Linked DNA regions of Canis lupus familiaris. The protein of the gene in region 2 interacts with the protein of the main gene of each other region in a biochemical or structural test. Links are inferred from orthologs where the notes say so. Each region holds a gene or a part of one and is shown on either strand. Other genes may lie near its edges.

Region 1 (7,279 bases), on a different chromosome or scaffold from region 2:
CTAGCAGGTCTGCACATCCAGTGGAACGGCCCCATGGTGGGTGGCTTTTCAATGGGGTGGACGACCCAGGCTGCCCAAGACACTGCCGGCCACGGAGACCCCAGGCCAATGAGACTCGGCGGCAGCGACAAGAGCTTTATGAAGAGTCATGATACACTGGGGTGAACGGTGCCCCGGCTATAGGTCTCTAGGGTCACATGTGTGGAGCCTGGGGAACATGAATGCCCAGAGGAAGAGGGAACAGGGATACTCTCTGGCACAACCCATGGTGGGCACCTGTGGTACACATCCTGCGTGTACACCTAGGAGCAGACCCTCGAAGGTGAAGGATGCTGTGGGTCCAGGAGGCAGCAATGGCGGGCCAGGCCACGGTGGGTGCAGCTTCTGGGGCCTGGAGCCAGCAGAGGGGGCAGGAGCTCACTGCAGGGGGAGGGGAAGGAGGGGGGAGGAGAGACCCAGGCCTTGAGGCGCCCCCAGCTTCTGGCATCTCCCCCAGGCTGGAGCCTCAGTGCAGCCACTCCACCCCTGGGAGCTGATTACTCAGCCGTTCCAGAATTGGAACAGCACCCCAGGGACCTGAAGACAAAAGGGCAGGGGCTGCCAGACCTGCCATAGACAAGGGGTGTTTACAGGCCAGAGTCCCAGAGTCAGTCCTCCCATCCAACCTTGAGCAGGAGCTGCCTGGCTGGTGGGAAGCCCTGTGCCCTAGTGAGTTGCCTCCTCGCCCTCCCTTGGGGTCTGCAGTAAGGGGGTGCCCACCTGGAGCAGCATGCTGAGGCCCAGGTTGCGGTGCCTATGCTCCAGCTCCGACACAGCCTGCAGCAGGGACCCAAAGCGCTCAGCCGGGTCTGAGTCCTCATCCTCCAAGGACCCCTCGTCTTTATCCGCCTCCTGCAGAAAACGCGCCTCTTCCTCGGCAAAGAAGGCCCGCAGCTTCTTGTAGTCGGTGAGGGCTTTCTTCCGGCGGTCCATCACATGTCCCTGCAGGGCAGGAAGCAGACGGCAGGGACACCTGTGCCCCGGGATCCACCCTGGGGCCTCCCGCCCCACTGCTACCCACCCCGGGGAGGGGGGTTTGCTGCAGTGTGCAGCACCCAGCCGCACCCCCACCGATCCGGGTCAGGGCCCACACCCACATCCCCTCCTTGGGTGCGCCCCAGGCCTACGCCACTTGCCTTCCACACGGCCGCAGCAGACTCGGCCTGGCCATGCAGGTCCCGTGCATCGTTCAGGTCTTTTCTCATGATCTCCACCGACCCCTTGTTCTCCTAAAAAGACACGCGGGTCGCTGGTGGACACACAGTCAGAAGGCCCAGGGTCCCCCAGCCAGTCTGGGGACAGGCTCAGTGTGTGATCTTGACCTGTCAGACTCCACAGAAAGGGGCTGCAGGTACCAGAGGGGGGTCTCTGCAGGCCCATTAAGCTCTCTGCAGAAAGAAGCCTGACAAATGCACCTGCTAGGAATACAATCAGGCAACTGGATATGAGACTATCCCGTGGGCTCCCTAGCGTTCCTGTCACCTAGGGTCCCCAGACCCTACACCTGTGGGTTCCCCCAGCAGGAGCATAGCCCAGCTCCAATCCACCCCCAGGGTGCTCAGGGGAGCCCAGGCTGTCTTTAATGACATAATGTGACCCCCCTTTAGGGGGTGTCCCCAGGCCCCCAGCTACAGCCAGACTCTTCCACTGTGGGTTTCTACCTAGGGTCAGGTGCCCCATGCACTGGTCGACTGCAACAGCCAAGCTTTCAGGATGGAGTGGGGAAGCATCTGGGTGAAGGGAGGGGGCACCTGGACCACAGCAGCTGCCAGCCCACGCTTGCCGCCCGGTCCAGCCCGCGGGGGTGGGGCTGCTGCGGGGTGACATCACACGTGGAGGCGGGGCCAACAGATGAACGCCCACCTCGGACGGGGGTAGTGGTAGAACCCTCCGAAAATGGAACAGGGGCTGCGTGTGCGAGGTGGAGGAGGAGAATGGTCCAGGGACGGGAGCGTGCACAGAACGCCCTTCAGGGGTGCGGGATAAGGCGAGGGGGCGATGTCCGGGGATGGGCGAGGGGGAACAAAGCACGTCCTGGGGGAAGGGACCCTGGTTGGAGAGAGGACCCGGCACCTTCCGACCGGGCGGGGCGGGGCGGGGCTTGGACGGAGGATCGGACACCATTCTGAAGATTGAGAGGGGAGACAGGATACCGTCCCTCCGGGAGAGGGGCCTGGGTTCCGGATGGGGAGACAGGGAACCCTGGGGGCGGGTGGCAGGATGCCATCTGGAGACAGGGACCCAGGTTCGGAATGGGGGAAGGGAAGCCAGCGGAGGGTGGGGACTGGGAGGCAGGGCAGGGGACAGGGAGCAGAGCAGTCTGGGGCGCGGACCCGGGTTGGAGAGCGGGGACAGGACAACATCTAAGGGTGAGGGGTGAACGGCTGGGGAGGAGGGGCCGGGCGCCATCCGAGGATGCCGGGGGTCAGAGCACCGGGCGGGGGGCGGGGGGCGCGGGGCAGGGGCCGGGGTGGGGAGGGGGTGCGGGCCACCGTCTGAGGGCGGAGGAGAGGGAAACGGGGCCCCGTCCGGGGCCCTGTCCGGGGCGGCGGCCGGTCCCGCCCGCGCGCACCTTGCCGCGCAGCGCCTTCCTCCAGCGCGGCTCCCACTCGGGCGGCTCGGGCCCCGCGGCCATGCGGCAGGCGGCGCACAGCGGGCCCCCGTCGGCGCGGCACAGCAGCTGCAGGGCCGCCTCGGAGGCCGGGCCGTCGCGCGCGGGCGCCGCGGCCGCCTCCTCGAGCGCCAGCAGCCGGCGGCTGAGGGGCGGGCGGCCGGGCTCCACCGCGCGCTGCCAGCAGTCGTCGGCGCACTCGGGGCACGGGAAGGGCCCGTCCTCCTCGGCCCAAAAGCGCACCACGCACGCCCGGCAGAAGCGGTGGCCGCAGTCGGCGCGCACCGGCTCTCGGGGCGCGCGCTGGCACAGGGCGCAGGCGGCCTCGGCTGGGCCCGCGGGGAGCGCCAGGGCGGCGGCGGCGGGGGCCCTGCGGGCGGGCGCGGCCGGCGGAGAGGCGGCGGGCACGGACCGAGAAGGGCGCTGGGGAGCGCGGCCGCAGGGCACGGCGCGGCGCAGGCCGGGACGCGGACGGCGGCGGGGACGCGCGGGCGGTGACGGAGGGGCGCCGCACGCAGGGTCCTGGCAGCGGTGTGCCTGACGCTCGCGGAGCCCGGCCGGCCGCGCCTCCGCACGAGGTCCTGGCAGGGGTGCGCGCCGCGCTCCGGGGTCCTGGCAGCGGTGCTCCCGCCTCCCGCCTCCCGCCTCCCGCGGGTCGCTCTCCAGTCCGCGGGCCGGCCCGCCTGCCCGCCTTCTCACGGGCCGAAATCTTCCCAGGGTTATCGCTTAGCCCGGAAATGACACCTGGACGAGAGGGAAGCCGTTTTATTTTTATTTAAGACTTTATGTATTTATTCATGAGAGACACGGCGGGAGGGGGAGGGGAGAGCGAGAGAGAGAGGCAGAGGGAGAAGCAGGCTCCACGCAGGGAGCCCGACGTGGGACCCGATCGGCCGTGGGCCAAAGGCAGGCGCTAAACCGCTGAGCCAGCCGGGCTGCCCCTATTTTTTTTTACGAAGATTTCATTATAAAAGTGTTTTTGTAAGCTGCTAGGACCTGAGCTGCGAGCTCCCCGCCCACGCTGGGCTGGGGCTGGGGCTGGGGCTGGGGCTGGGGCTGGGGCTGGGCTGGGGCCGGGCTGAAAACGGCTGACGTGGGACCCCCGCGTGTGCACCGGTTCTGCACGCGCCGCCCCGCCTGGGCCCGCTCCCGGTGCATCCCCTCGACGCGTGGGCCCTCTCCCGGCGCATCCTCTCTGCATGCGGTTCCCCGAGTGTTCCCTCTCCTGCTGCATCCGCTCTGCACGCGCCTCCTCGCGTGAACCGCCCCGCACGGGACCGGTCCTGTCCCCGGGCATAACAGGCCTCCAGCCCACTGTCCCGCGCGTCCCTAGCGGAGGAATCCGGAGGCAGGGAATGAGTATGTCCCATGAGACCCAAAGCTCCAGGATCCCAGACATTTGTTAGCATTTCTTTAGGGGGAAAAATTTGGAGAGAGGAGCAATCTGGTTGGTTGTATTGTGCCCAAGGTTGCGAATCCGAGAAACCACCAAGGAGCCGACACCGATGCAAACACATGAGGGTTTATTAACAAGCTCGAGCTTGGGTCCAAGTACACCCGACACAGCGGAGCAGGGACTTGGACCCCGAGGTGGGCTCCAACTGGGTTTTTATGGGCTGGTCTAGGAGGAAGGTGGGATTTTTCAGTAATGGTGGGGGTGTGAGAGTCTCCAGTAAAGAGGTCTCACAAGCTCTTGCTTCCTTATTCTAATAAGGGCGCGATTTGTTGTTGTTGTTGTTGTTGTTTTTGTTTTTTTCTGTAGCCAGGGTAAGGTAGAGTTCAGTACCTGGTCACAGTAGCCTGGTCGCAGTGGTCTGAGACTGCTACCAAAGCTACAGTGTGCTTGTGCCAATGTTAAACTTGAATGGCCCTAATTTTCTCAGCCTCCACAGTTATTTTCAAAACAAGCAAGCATGCAGTTGAAATAAAAAATTACTGTAACTTAGCACTACATAATTTTTAAGTGTTAAAAAATTAGTTTGTTATTCCATACAGATGCAGATTGTGTTACATTGCTTCCAGTTTTGTGTTATTAAAATTTGGCATAGACCTGAGAATGCATGGAAAGTGTAACTAGCGAAGTAAGGTTAGTTCTGTTCCATAATGGTCAGAAGAAGGCTTCAAACCCAGCGCACCCAATTAGTTGGGTAAACTAAGAACCTAATGGAGATGAGATGCCTGGGTGGCTCAGCTGTTCAGCTTCTGCCTCCCGCTCAGAGCATTATCCCCATGTCCTGGGATGGAGTCCTGCATTGGGCTCCCTGCATGGAGCTTCTCCCTCTGCCTGTGTCTCTGCCTCTCTTTCTCTCTGTCTCTCATGAATAAATAAATAAAACCCTAAACAACAACAACAACAAAAAGAACCTAGTGAAGAGAACAGAGAGAGGAAGGAAGGAGTTCAACAAATTCCATGATATTCAGTGAGTAGAACAGTAAATAGGAACAGGAATGGTCAAAAGCCAAACTTGCAAAGTTTGAACTACAAACATACAAAAGTTCATAAAATTTGGTACAGAAAAAATATAATTGAGAAATAGCCCCCCCCCCCCATAGGATGTGTCAGTTCACAGAAAAAAACAATTACTGAATAGATTGTTGTGTATGGATAGAGGTTTCTGTGATCTGCTCAGCGGGACTGACCACCTGCACCTGCACATGCACAGGCAGGCTAAGATGTGGTTTGTGAGACTCAGGCTGTGTGCATGATCTTGAGAGACTGGTTATTTAAAATATGTCATCTGGCCTCCAGGTCGGCACCGGCCCTTCTGGTCTGGACACATAGAGCCTCAAATCTTGTCTTGCATCCTGTCCTGCTGCAGGCAGGGCTGGCCCTCCAGGATGGGTTCCAGGAGGGTAGGCAGACACACCTAGCCCAGGATCCTTGAAAATATAGTACATATTGCAGTGAAAATGCAGCTCGCTCTTCCTAGGGGAACAGATGCCTAGCTTCAGACCCCGACATTTGCCCTATAAACACAGCCCTTTGGAGACGGTCAGTTAGAAGTCTTACCTCAGGGGAGGACACGCCACCCAGGGCTCTCAGTGTGGACTCCAGCCTGGCTGTCTCCAGCGGGCTTCCTCAGCTAGTGAGGTTGGATGTTCTGGTACCTGACTTGATGTAGTTCTGTCTTATTCGCATTTGTTGCCTACTATCACCTTCGTCTATGTGTAGCTTCCTTTCCTCTTCTATTAGGTTTCTATATGTGCTGCCAAAGCGAGCAATCTTCTATTAGGTTTCTATATGTTTTCTTTCCTTTTTGAAACCAAATCACAGCTGTTATAAACCTTTTGTTCAGATCATAGATGTGGGGGAAAAATACACTCTGGCCAGGTTAAGAAATAGGAACATAAAATAAGATTTTTCTTCACCATTAAGTTAGCAGACACCCCCCCCAAAAAAAAAAAAAACCTGGATTTTGCAAATATTGCTTCTGGGAGACAAGGTAGCAATATGTAGTCAGGACCTTCAGAATTTTAATAACCTTTGCAATTTCTTTTTCCAAAATATGATCTATTAAAATAAACCCAAATGGAAATAAAACCTTTCCTGATTTGGCTTGGTTTGGTTTTGAGAAATGTTTGTCACATCACTATTTGGGGAAAAAAACCAAAAACCTCAAATTTCCAGTAATAGAGAATGAACAAGTTGTAGTAGTCATCCATCCGAAAATGTGTGCATGAGTTGCATCCCAATGTTTATAGCAGCAATGTCCACAACAGCCAAACAATGGAAAGAGCCCAGATGTCCATCAACAGATGACTGGATAAAGAAGATGTGGTCTATATACACAGTGGGGTATTACTCAGCCATCAAAAAGAATGAAATCCTGTCATTTGCAATGACTTGGGTGAAACTATAGTGTATTATGTTAAGTGAAATAAGTCAGAGAAAGACAAATACCATGATTTCACTCATGTGGAATTTAAGAAAGAAAACAGATGAACATAGGAGAAGGGAAGGAAAAATAAAATCAGATGAAAATTGAGAGACAAACCATAAGAGACTCTTAACTTTGGGAAACAAACTGAGGGTCGCTGGAGGGGAGATGGGTGAGTGATGGGGTACCTGGGTGACAGGCATTAAGGAGAGTACAGGATGTGATGAGCACTGGGTATTATTTGCAACTGATGCATCTCAGAATTCTACCTCTGAAACTGATACATGAAAAAGAGAAAGAGAATGTGTGCATGAGAGACTTCTGGAAATAAGGAGTAGCAAATGTTGCTTCATAGCCCCTAGATCTGCTCCAAATTCCAACGTGGGCTTTTTGCCATCAAGCAATTCTGTGACATCAACTGCATGCTCTAAAATTTAACAATCGTAGTAGCAGAATTCAAATTGTGTTGTATGGGATCCTGACTCCCCAAGACAGGCTCAAAGGTATCACCTGGTATTTGTCCCCCTCCCTCTGCACCCTCCAGGTGAGAGATTCAGGGTTGCTGTATGACAGGGCAAAGCAGCTCTGTGGGCTCTCCCTCATCTTCCTCAAGAACCATCCAGAATATGGAAGACTCCCACTTCCAGGTCAGAGGCAGAAGCAGAGTGATGATCTGGAGTATTGCTCAGAATGACATTCCATAAACACCCCCAGGACAGCAGGACAGTTGCTGGGCTTGGGGGGGTCTTGG
Region 2 (7,191 bases):
GTTCTTCTCGAAGATCCTCTGAGGAGAAACAAAGTGGGGTATGCGTCAATGGCTTAGGAGATTATCTCTCTGGCAATGACGGTGATACCACCTCCTCTGACATTTACAGCCCCACTGGCTCACTCACTCCCCAGATACCCCAGAGGCTGAGAGTTGATGTGCAGACACTGGGTCAAGTGTAGGGGATAGGGAAGGGGCAGTATCCTAACTCTACCTCTCCCATGTCTCCTCTCTTTAGCCTGAGCTAGTCTGACCTGAACTCTTCCTCCTCATCCCTCTTTTTGCCCCTAATCCACTACCCCACCTGTCCCTGGGGGTATCTTTGTGTTGAGGAGGTTAGGGGGGTGGCTTGAGGGGGATTGTTGCTGAATGGATTTGCCACCCTCATCTCTGTGCACCAATCTGGCCTTGACACACTCTAGCTCCAATTTTCTCACACAGCTTTTGGAAAGGCACATCCTTGGGACCCCAAAATACCAAAACACACCATGGCCTCCAGCACTGAGTGGCCCAGCCCCAAGCACAGGCCCCTACCTTTGAACTTCTTGAGCAGCCCCTTTAAGACAAAGGTCTTGAGGGAAACATTCCAGACTTTATTTTTCATCTCAGAAGAGACTGTGGTGGGCTTGGGGCCAGGCACATTGCTGCACCTGCAGGACAAAGACCCAGAGGAAGCCCGCAAATACTGTCCTACTCCCACCGGACTGAGGATGGCAAGGTCCTCTTTGGTGGGGAGAGGCAAAGAAAGAAGAGGCTGGTCTTACAACAGAATATCCACAGCCAGTCAGGTGGACATTTGCCTTAGAAGTTACATTGGTAAGGAGGTGTGGGAGTTGGGAGGTGAGAGGTCAGCAGTGAGGGAATGAAGAGAGAGACCTCAGTGGAAAAGAAGAGCCAGCTTGTAGAGGCCTAAGGCACTCCTAGGTCCACTCACCTGCTTAAGGTGTTTTTGAATTCCTGGTGAGAAAGATGAAAGAAAACCAACTCAGCATCACGTAACCACCAGTCACCTTTGAGAAAATAAAACTGGCCTCTTGCCCTACTTCTAGAGAGTAAGCAATAAGGTGTACCACCCCCAACCACCTGCATGTGGCCCAGAGGGCAGTGGCTTCCTGTTGTGCCTGATTGCTGGGTGTCTCATCGCCTCCCTTCCCAGGGCTTTGCAAATGCTCCCTTCATTACTGAATCATCACTGGAGCCATGTGCTGGTATCCAGTGTTGCCTCTGCTCCCGACACCACTCCAGGGAAGTCATAGCCCTTCCGCAATGACTGGCCACTCAGACCAGTATCTTCTAAATGAGTATGCTTGACCCATTTGTGCCTTGTGAAGTTTATTTGTGGATTGTGACTATTTATTTTATTTATTTATTCATGAGAAACACGAGGGAGAGGCAGAAGCACAGGCAGAGGGAGAAGCAGGCTCCTGCAAGGAGCCCGATGTGGGACTCAATCCCAGATCCCAGAATCACGCCATGAGCGAAAGGCAGAAGCTCAACCACTGAGCCACTCAGGCGTCCCTGTGACTATTTTAAAAGGAAATAAAATAGAAAATGTCAAAAAACGCATTACATGTACTAAAGATAAGTATTATTTTCTGAGATTTTTGTCACAAGGTTTATATACTGGAATATGACGTACACCTTGTATACAGCTCTTTGGAACTCCTTTCTGTCTGCTAGATTGTATTCAGCCCAATTCATGAATTGTTGAGTAAAGCCAATAAGATCTTTATTGCGGCTCAAGGTCAAGACAGTTTTACCACATCTTTTTAGACCTTTAAACCCAGGAGAAGAAGGGCACTTTTCTGCAGTCCCCTTCTGCTTGAGTATGTGATTCTACTAAATTCACAGAACCTGACTCTGTTCTCACTTGCCATTTGTGATGCCTGGGGATAAATGATTCATACTTCTTGGCCAATCCAGACTCACCTGGAGAAATTCAAGGTCAGGCTTTTGAGATGTCTCCTGGATTTGGCTGCTGAGCTTGGAGAGCTGGGTGATCTCACCCTCAAGCTGAGCTATGTTCTCATTCCGCTTCTGTGTCACCTCCCGGGACAGCTCCTCCAGGCGGCCCAAGAGCCGGCCTTCCTGCTCCACCAGGAAGGCCCTCAGTGCCTGGAACTCCGCGCCCGCCTTCTCTCGCTCAGCTGCCATCTGCTTCTGTCTCAGGAGGGGAGAATTGGGATAGGCAATGGGATGTCAAGATGTAGCATTTGGACAGTAGCATCTGAGCCATTCCACAGGACAGAATTCCACTCATCTCACTGTTCAGGGGTCAGAGGCTCACCTACACATACCCACCACACACATCCTCTAGTTTAGATATCCTTACACAGCAGTTTCAACACATGCTCTCGAGTTCCCTGTCACAAATGTGCTCTCCCACCTACCTAGGGCAACTTCAGATTTGCCCCAGAACCACCCAGGGATGCAGCTGTCTCACTTGGAAAGTAGGAGAAATATTTAGGACATTACTTAATGTCTCCCAGAGCCACTGTAAAGATTAAACTGAGGTCACTTCCTTTCCACCCCCAAACACATTTATTTTGAGTTAGAAACTACACAAGAGGCTCAAAATGGAGTCACTGATGCTAAGTCCCACATTAGGAAACAGAGACTTAATCACAGTTTCAGTTTTCTCAGAAAGAGAATCTCACATCAGCCAATCAGGAATTACCTGATCAGTATTGGTTAAGTAACTGCCTGATAAACCTCTACCCTCCCCAACAGGGAAAGTAACTGCAATAACCAATCTGCTTTTTGGCCTAGTATAAATTCCTTGTTCCTGCTCATGTCTGCCTATAAATTCTTTTGCTTTGTATAGCTTTTCAGAGTTCTTTTCTATCTGCCAGATGGAATGCTGCTCAATTCATGAATTGCTGAATAAAGCCAATAATACCTGCAAATTTTACTCAGCTAAATGTTGTCCTTTAACATTTGTTACTCCTCCAACTTTCACTCTTCACTTTACTTCTTTTTAAAGAGTGCACACACAGGCCCAGGATGGTGGGTGGTCCTCTGTTGTCACCCAAAGAGGATCCACCTGGAGGATGCCCGCTCACCAGAAGCTCCTTGCTCTCCTTCTCTTCAGTGGAACGAAATGCTTCATAGTCCTCCAGATCCTTCTTCAAGACCTTCAGCCTGGACTCCAGGAGTTCCTGCAAAAGGGTGAGAAAGGAGACATTATGGTAAGAGGCCTCTGGAAACCCCTACATGTGCCTTTCTGGAGCCATCTAGGAGAAAGAGAAGACCCTCTTCATTGAAGAATAGGAGGCAGGGCTGAAGCCATATCTGGACATCCAGATGGCTATAGCCTGCACAGAAGTACATAGGTGTACGGGGCAACTGAAGGGTGACTCCTAAGGCCCCAAGGTCTCACTTCTCCAGACCATCTGTTCACAATCCAAGCCGAAATGCAGGCAGGCCCTGTAGCAGCCCAACCTACCTAGTTTTCCCCTCTGTTTTCCTCCTCACCATCAGAAAGCTGTCTGGGAGGGAGACAAACCACGAGAGACTCTTACTTATTCGAAACAAACAGGGTTGCTAGAAGGGAGGTGGGTGGGAGATGGGGTAATTGGGGGATGGGCATTAAGGAGGGCATGGGATGTGATGAGCACCATGTGTTATAGGCAACTGATAAATTGTTGAATGCCACATCGGAAACTAAGTATGTACTTATATGTTGGCTAATTGAATTTAAATTTTAAAAAACTCTAAACCCCTCCCAGAACCAGAAAGCCATCTGGGTGGGAGGGCTGAAGTGGAATAAAGAGTAAAAGACTGGGGGCTGTGTGCTGAGGCAGTAAGGAGGCAGGAAAGAGAGTGCCCAAGATCCACATGTTTGACACAGCCCACCGACAGCTTTTGCTGCTCCACTCAAACCAGGCAGCAGGCACCCGCTGCCTTACCCCAGTCTCCTGGAAAAGTCGCCCCACTCGGCCCAGGACGCAGCACAGAGCCACCGCAGGGAAAGGGCCGAGAGGGTGGACAGAGGAAGTGTGGGTGTGATGGCAGCGCTGCTAGAAGCCAGGGGCTGACAAGCAGGATGAAAATCGCCAAGTCTGTAGAGGTATCGCGAAGGTGGTCCAGGAAGGAGCCCAGAGGGAAACTCGAGGTGGCGGGTAGGATGGTATTAATGATGTAGCGGTGACACGGAGAGCGCTGCCCTGAGTCCCAGGGCAAGGCTGGCTAGCGTGGCAGAGGAGAGAAGCGGCAGGGTCTCACCCGGGCCTCCCGCAGGCCTGCCTGCTTGCCCTCTGCCCCGCACATGCAGGCAGGCGGAACCCGGGCTGGGGCCCTGGGGACCTGCACGGGGGGCGCGGGCGCTTACCTTAGCCTCCTGCACAGCCTCATCCAGGGGCAGCACCGCGTGCGCGCGGTGTTCGCGGGCGCGGTCGCACACCACGCAAATGGCGCGACCGTCGTCCTGGCAGTAGAGCTTGAGTGGTTCGCCATGCAGGGCGCAACCCGCCCAGGCCGCCTCCGCGAGTGCGCGCTCGCCGGGCGCGGCCCCGGGTAGGCTGAAGCGCCGCAGCAGCGTGGCCACCGAGGCCAGCTGCCGGTTGGGCCGCAGCTGGCTGGGCCGCACTGGCTCCCGGCACTGGGGGCAGGGCAGCGGGCAGGGCAGCGCGCGCGGCGCTGCGGTAGGGCCGGGGCCGGGGCCGGGGCCGGGGCCGGGGCCGGGGCCGGGGCCGGGGCGCTCCCAGCAGCGCGCTATGCAGGAGCGGCAGAAGCTGTGACCGCACTCGACCGACACGGGTTCGCGGAAGAGCTCCAGGCATATAGAGCAGGTGGTCTCGCCCTGCAGTTCTGCCGCCAGGGCCAGCGCCTCGGCCCCGGCCCCGGGGTCCGTCCGCAGCCCCACCGCCGCCATGCGCTCCCCCAGCGCCCCGGGTCGGGCGGTGCCGGGGACGTCGAGGGGCGAGGGGTGCAGAGGCCCGAGGAGGCCTCCGAGCACCCGCTGGGAGAGGAAGGGCGGGGCTGAAGTCGGGCTGGCAGAGACTCGAGCCGCGAGCTTGCCGGGCTGGGACACGAGAGCGCGAGAGCGTGTCTGTAGGCGGGCCGAGTGCAGGCCAGCGCCGCGCGTCCCCGCCCTGGGCCGCCCTGGCCGCGTGAACCCCGGCCGTGGTCTGCGGCTCCGCTGGTCTCCTGGCACCCTCCTCCGGCGCCCCCCTTGCGCAGCCCCTCCGCGACCCCCCTTGTCCACCCCCTGCCTGGATCAGTCAGACGTGGGAAACGGGCCCGGACAGGTGGGCGCACACACCCAGCTGGGCGCCACTCCCGGTTGCCGGGATGTCCAAGGGCCCAGCGCCCTGGCCACAGTGTCAGGTTCCCGCAGTACAGGTTTGTCCTGACCCGGGGCGAGCTAAATTTAGTGTCTGGAAGGTGGCTCTTGCCCCCACCCCCAATCCTGGCTTTGTAACCACGTCTGTGGCTACTTTTCCCACGGTGGTTCTCCCCTCCTTGTTTATTCAATTTTTGGCTTTGAACAAATAAAACATTTACAATACCTTTCCCTACTGTAATCTCCACCAAAATAACCCAGCCCTTTGCGGTCCCTCCAGAACTGCCAGGAATATTGGCTTCCACTTCTTTCCTCACTCCTGAGGTCACCCAGGGCAGGCTTTAGACACCACCCTCCTCAGAAACCAGTCTTGTCAAGGTCACCAGTGACCTCAGAGATCCTAACTCAAAGGCAAAGGCTCTTTCTCAGGCCTCACTTCATTTGCCCTTTCCTCCAATGCTTCCTCCTTGCTGCCACTTCCCTGGCACCTTCCAGGATGCCATAGGCCCTGGCTCTCCAACTGCATCCGTGGCCTCCTACCTTTTTCTTGGCCACTCTTGTGGTTTCTTCCTCCTCTTCCTCCACTTGCTCAGTCCTATACTACTGATCTCTTCCATTTTCTTGGCCTGAAAGACCCTATTCTTGCTGAGGCCACAATACACATCCCCACCCAGTGTCTCCTACTATGTCTGGCTTCCACATCCAAGTCCCAGCAGCATGTTCTGTGGACTATCACACACTCACCATAAACAACACCATACTTCAAATCTGCCCTCCACCTGTTCTTTCCAGAGCCTTCCCCACCCAACCCCAGTTAACAGCAACTCTATCCCTTCAGGTGTTCAGGCCATACCAGGGAGTCCTCTGTGACTCCCAAGAGGAACACATTGCACAGACTCCACCTTCAGTCCCCTCTGTGTCCTCACTCTCTCACACCCTTCCATGATCTGTGTACCACCTTCCATGATCTGATGATCACAACAGTTCTATCCCCTTCTGTCACACACTGCCCTACCCTGTCTTCTCCATCGAGCTGTGAGAACAGTCCTGTTGAAATGTTAAGTCAGAGCAAGGTTAGGTTCCCCTCTGCTCAGACCCTTCATTGGCTCCCACTGCTCAAAGTAAAAGTTGAAGTCTTTGTAATCCTCCTAAAGCCCTACCCATTCTTTGACCCCATCCCCTGCACCCAGACTCTACCTACATTTCCTGTCACTCTTCCTTGTTGATCCACTCCTCTCTTGCCACAGGGACCTCCTTGCTATTCCTGCAACATGCCAACAAGCTCCTACTTCAGGACCTTTGAACTGGCTTTTACTTGTACTTGCACTTCTCTTTTCCCATACTTGCTTGGCTTACTTCCCACCTCCTTCAAGTCCTGTTTCAAATGTCATCCTCTCAGCAGAACCTGCCCTAACCACATTGTTTAAAATTGCATCTTAACACATTGTCCTTCAACCTGGCTGTTTCATAACACTACCTCCTCTGGAATTTGAGATGTTAAGGGGATGACTGAGTTGGTTTTGTTACGGGTTGGACCCCTCAGACTTCTAAAGCGGTTCTTGTTACATAGTAAGAGACTGGTAAACTTTTCTTGGATTGAACTGATTTAAACGTTGTTCAAAATTCAGATATACAAAGAGTTTCACAGCGAAAAGTGTGCCCATCGTCTGCATTCCAGTCTCCTCCCCATCCCAAGAGAACAACTTTGCAATTCTGAATTATTTTATACAGATATTGTATAGTTTGGTGCACTCTCCTTTTTCTTGTTTAACAAACGGTAGCAGCCTGCACAGTCTTCCTTACTTTCCTTCTTCCGCTGAGTTCATTTTGGGCATCGTGCCTGATGATTTCTCCTACACTTTCCACTGCTGCCTTCAGATGTTTATTCCAGCTCGATGTCCCCGCGA

The links.
Region 1: the proteins of TRIM7 (region 2) and RNF187 interact in a test that uses a peptide from one of them, tested with the Homo sapiens proteins (2 studies listed by BioGRID, with this or other methods). The link is inferred for Canis lupus familiaris from reciprocal best matches to the Homo sapiens genes TRIM7 and RNF187.

The regions. Positions count from the first base shown.
Region 1 is NC_049235.1:239,360-246,638, forward strand, and holds RNF187 (E3 ubiquitin-protein ligase RNF187), read right to left. Parts: upstream 3,809-7,279; coding exon 3,765-3,808; intron 3,342-3,764; coding exon 2,612-3,341; intron 1,269-2,611; coding exon 1,176-1,268; intron 982-1,175; coding exon 760-981; intron 421-759; coding exon 418-420; 3' UTR 121-417; downstream 1-120.
Region 2 is NC_049232.1:580,463-587,653, forward strand, and holds the start of TRIM7 (E3 ubiquitin-protein ligase TRIM7), read right to left. Parts: upstream 5,044-7,191; 5' UTR 4,874-5,043; coding exon 4,331-4,873; intron 3,159-4,330; coding exon 3,063-3,158; intron 3,057-3,062; exon of another isoform or gene 2,900-3,056; intron 2,161-2,899; coding exon 1,930-2,160; intron 958-1,929; coding exon 935-957; intron 651-934; coding exon 535-650; intron 19-534; coding exon 1-18. UniProt on the Homo sapiens protein: E3 ubiquitin-protein ligase that have both tumor-promoting and tumor-suppressing activities and functions in several biological processes including innate immunity, regulation of ferroptosis as well as cell proliferation and migration.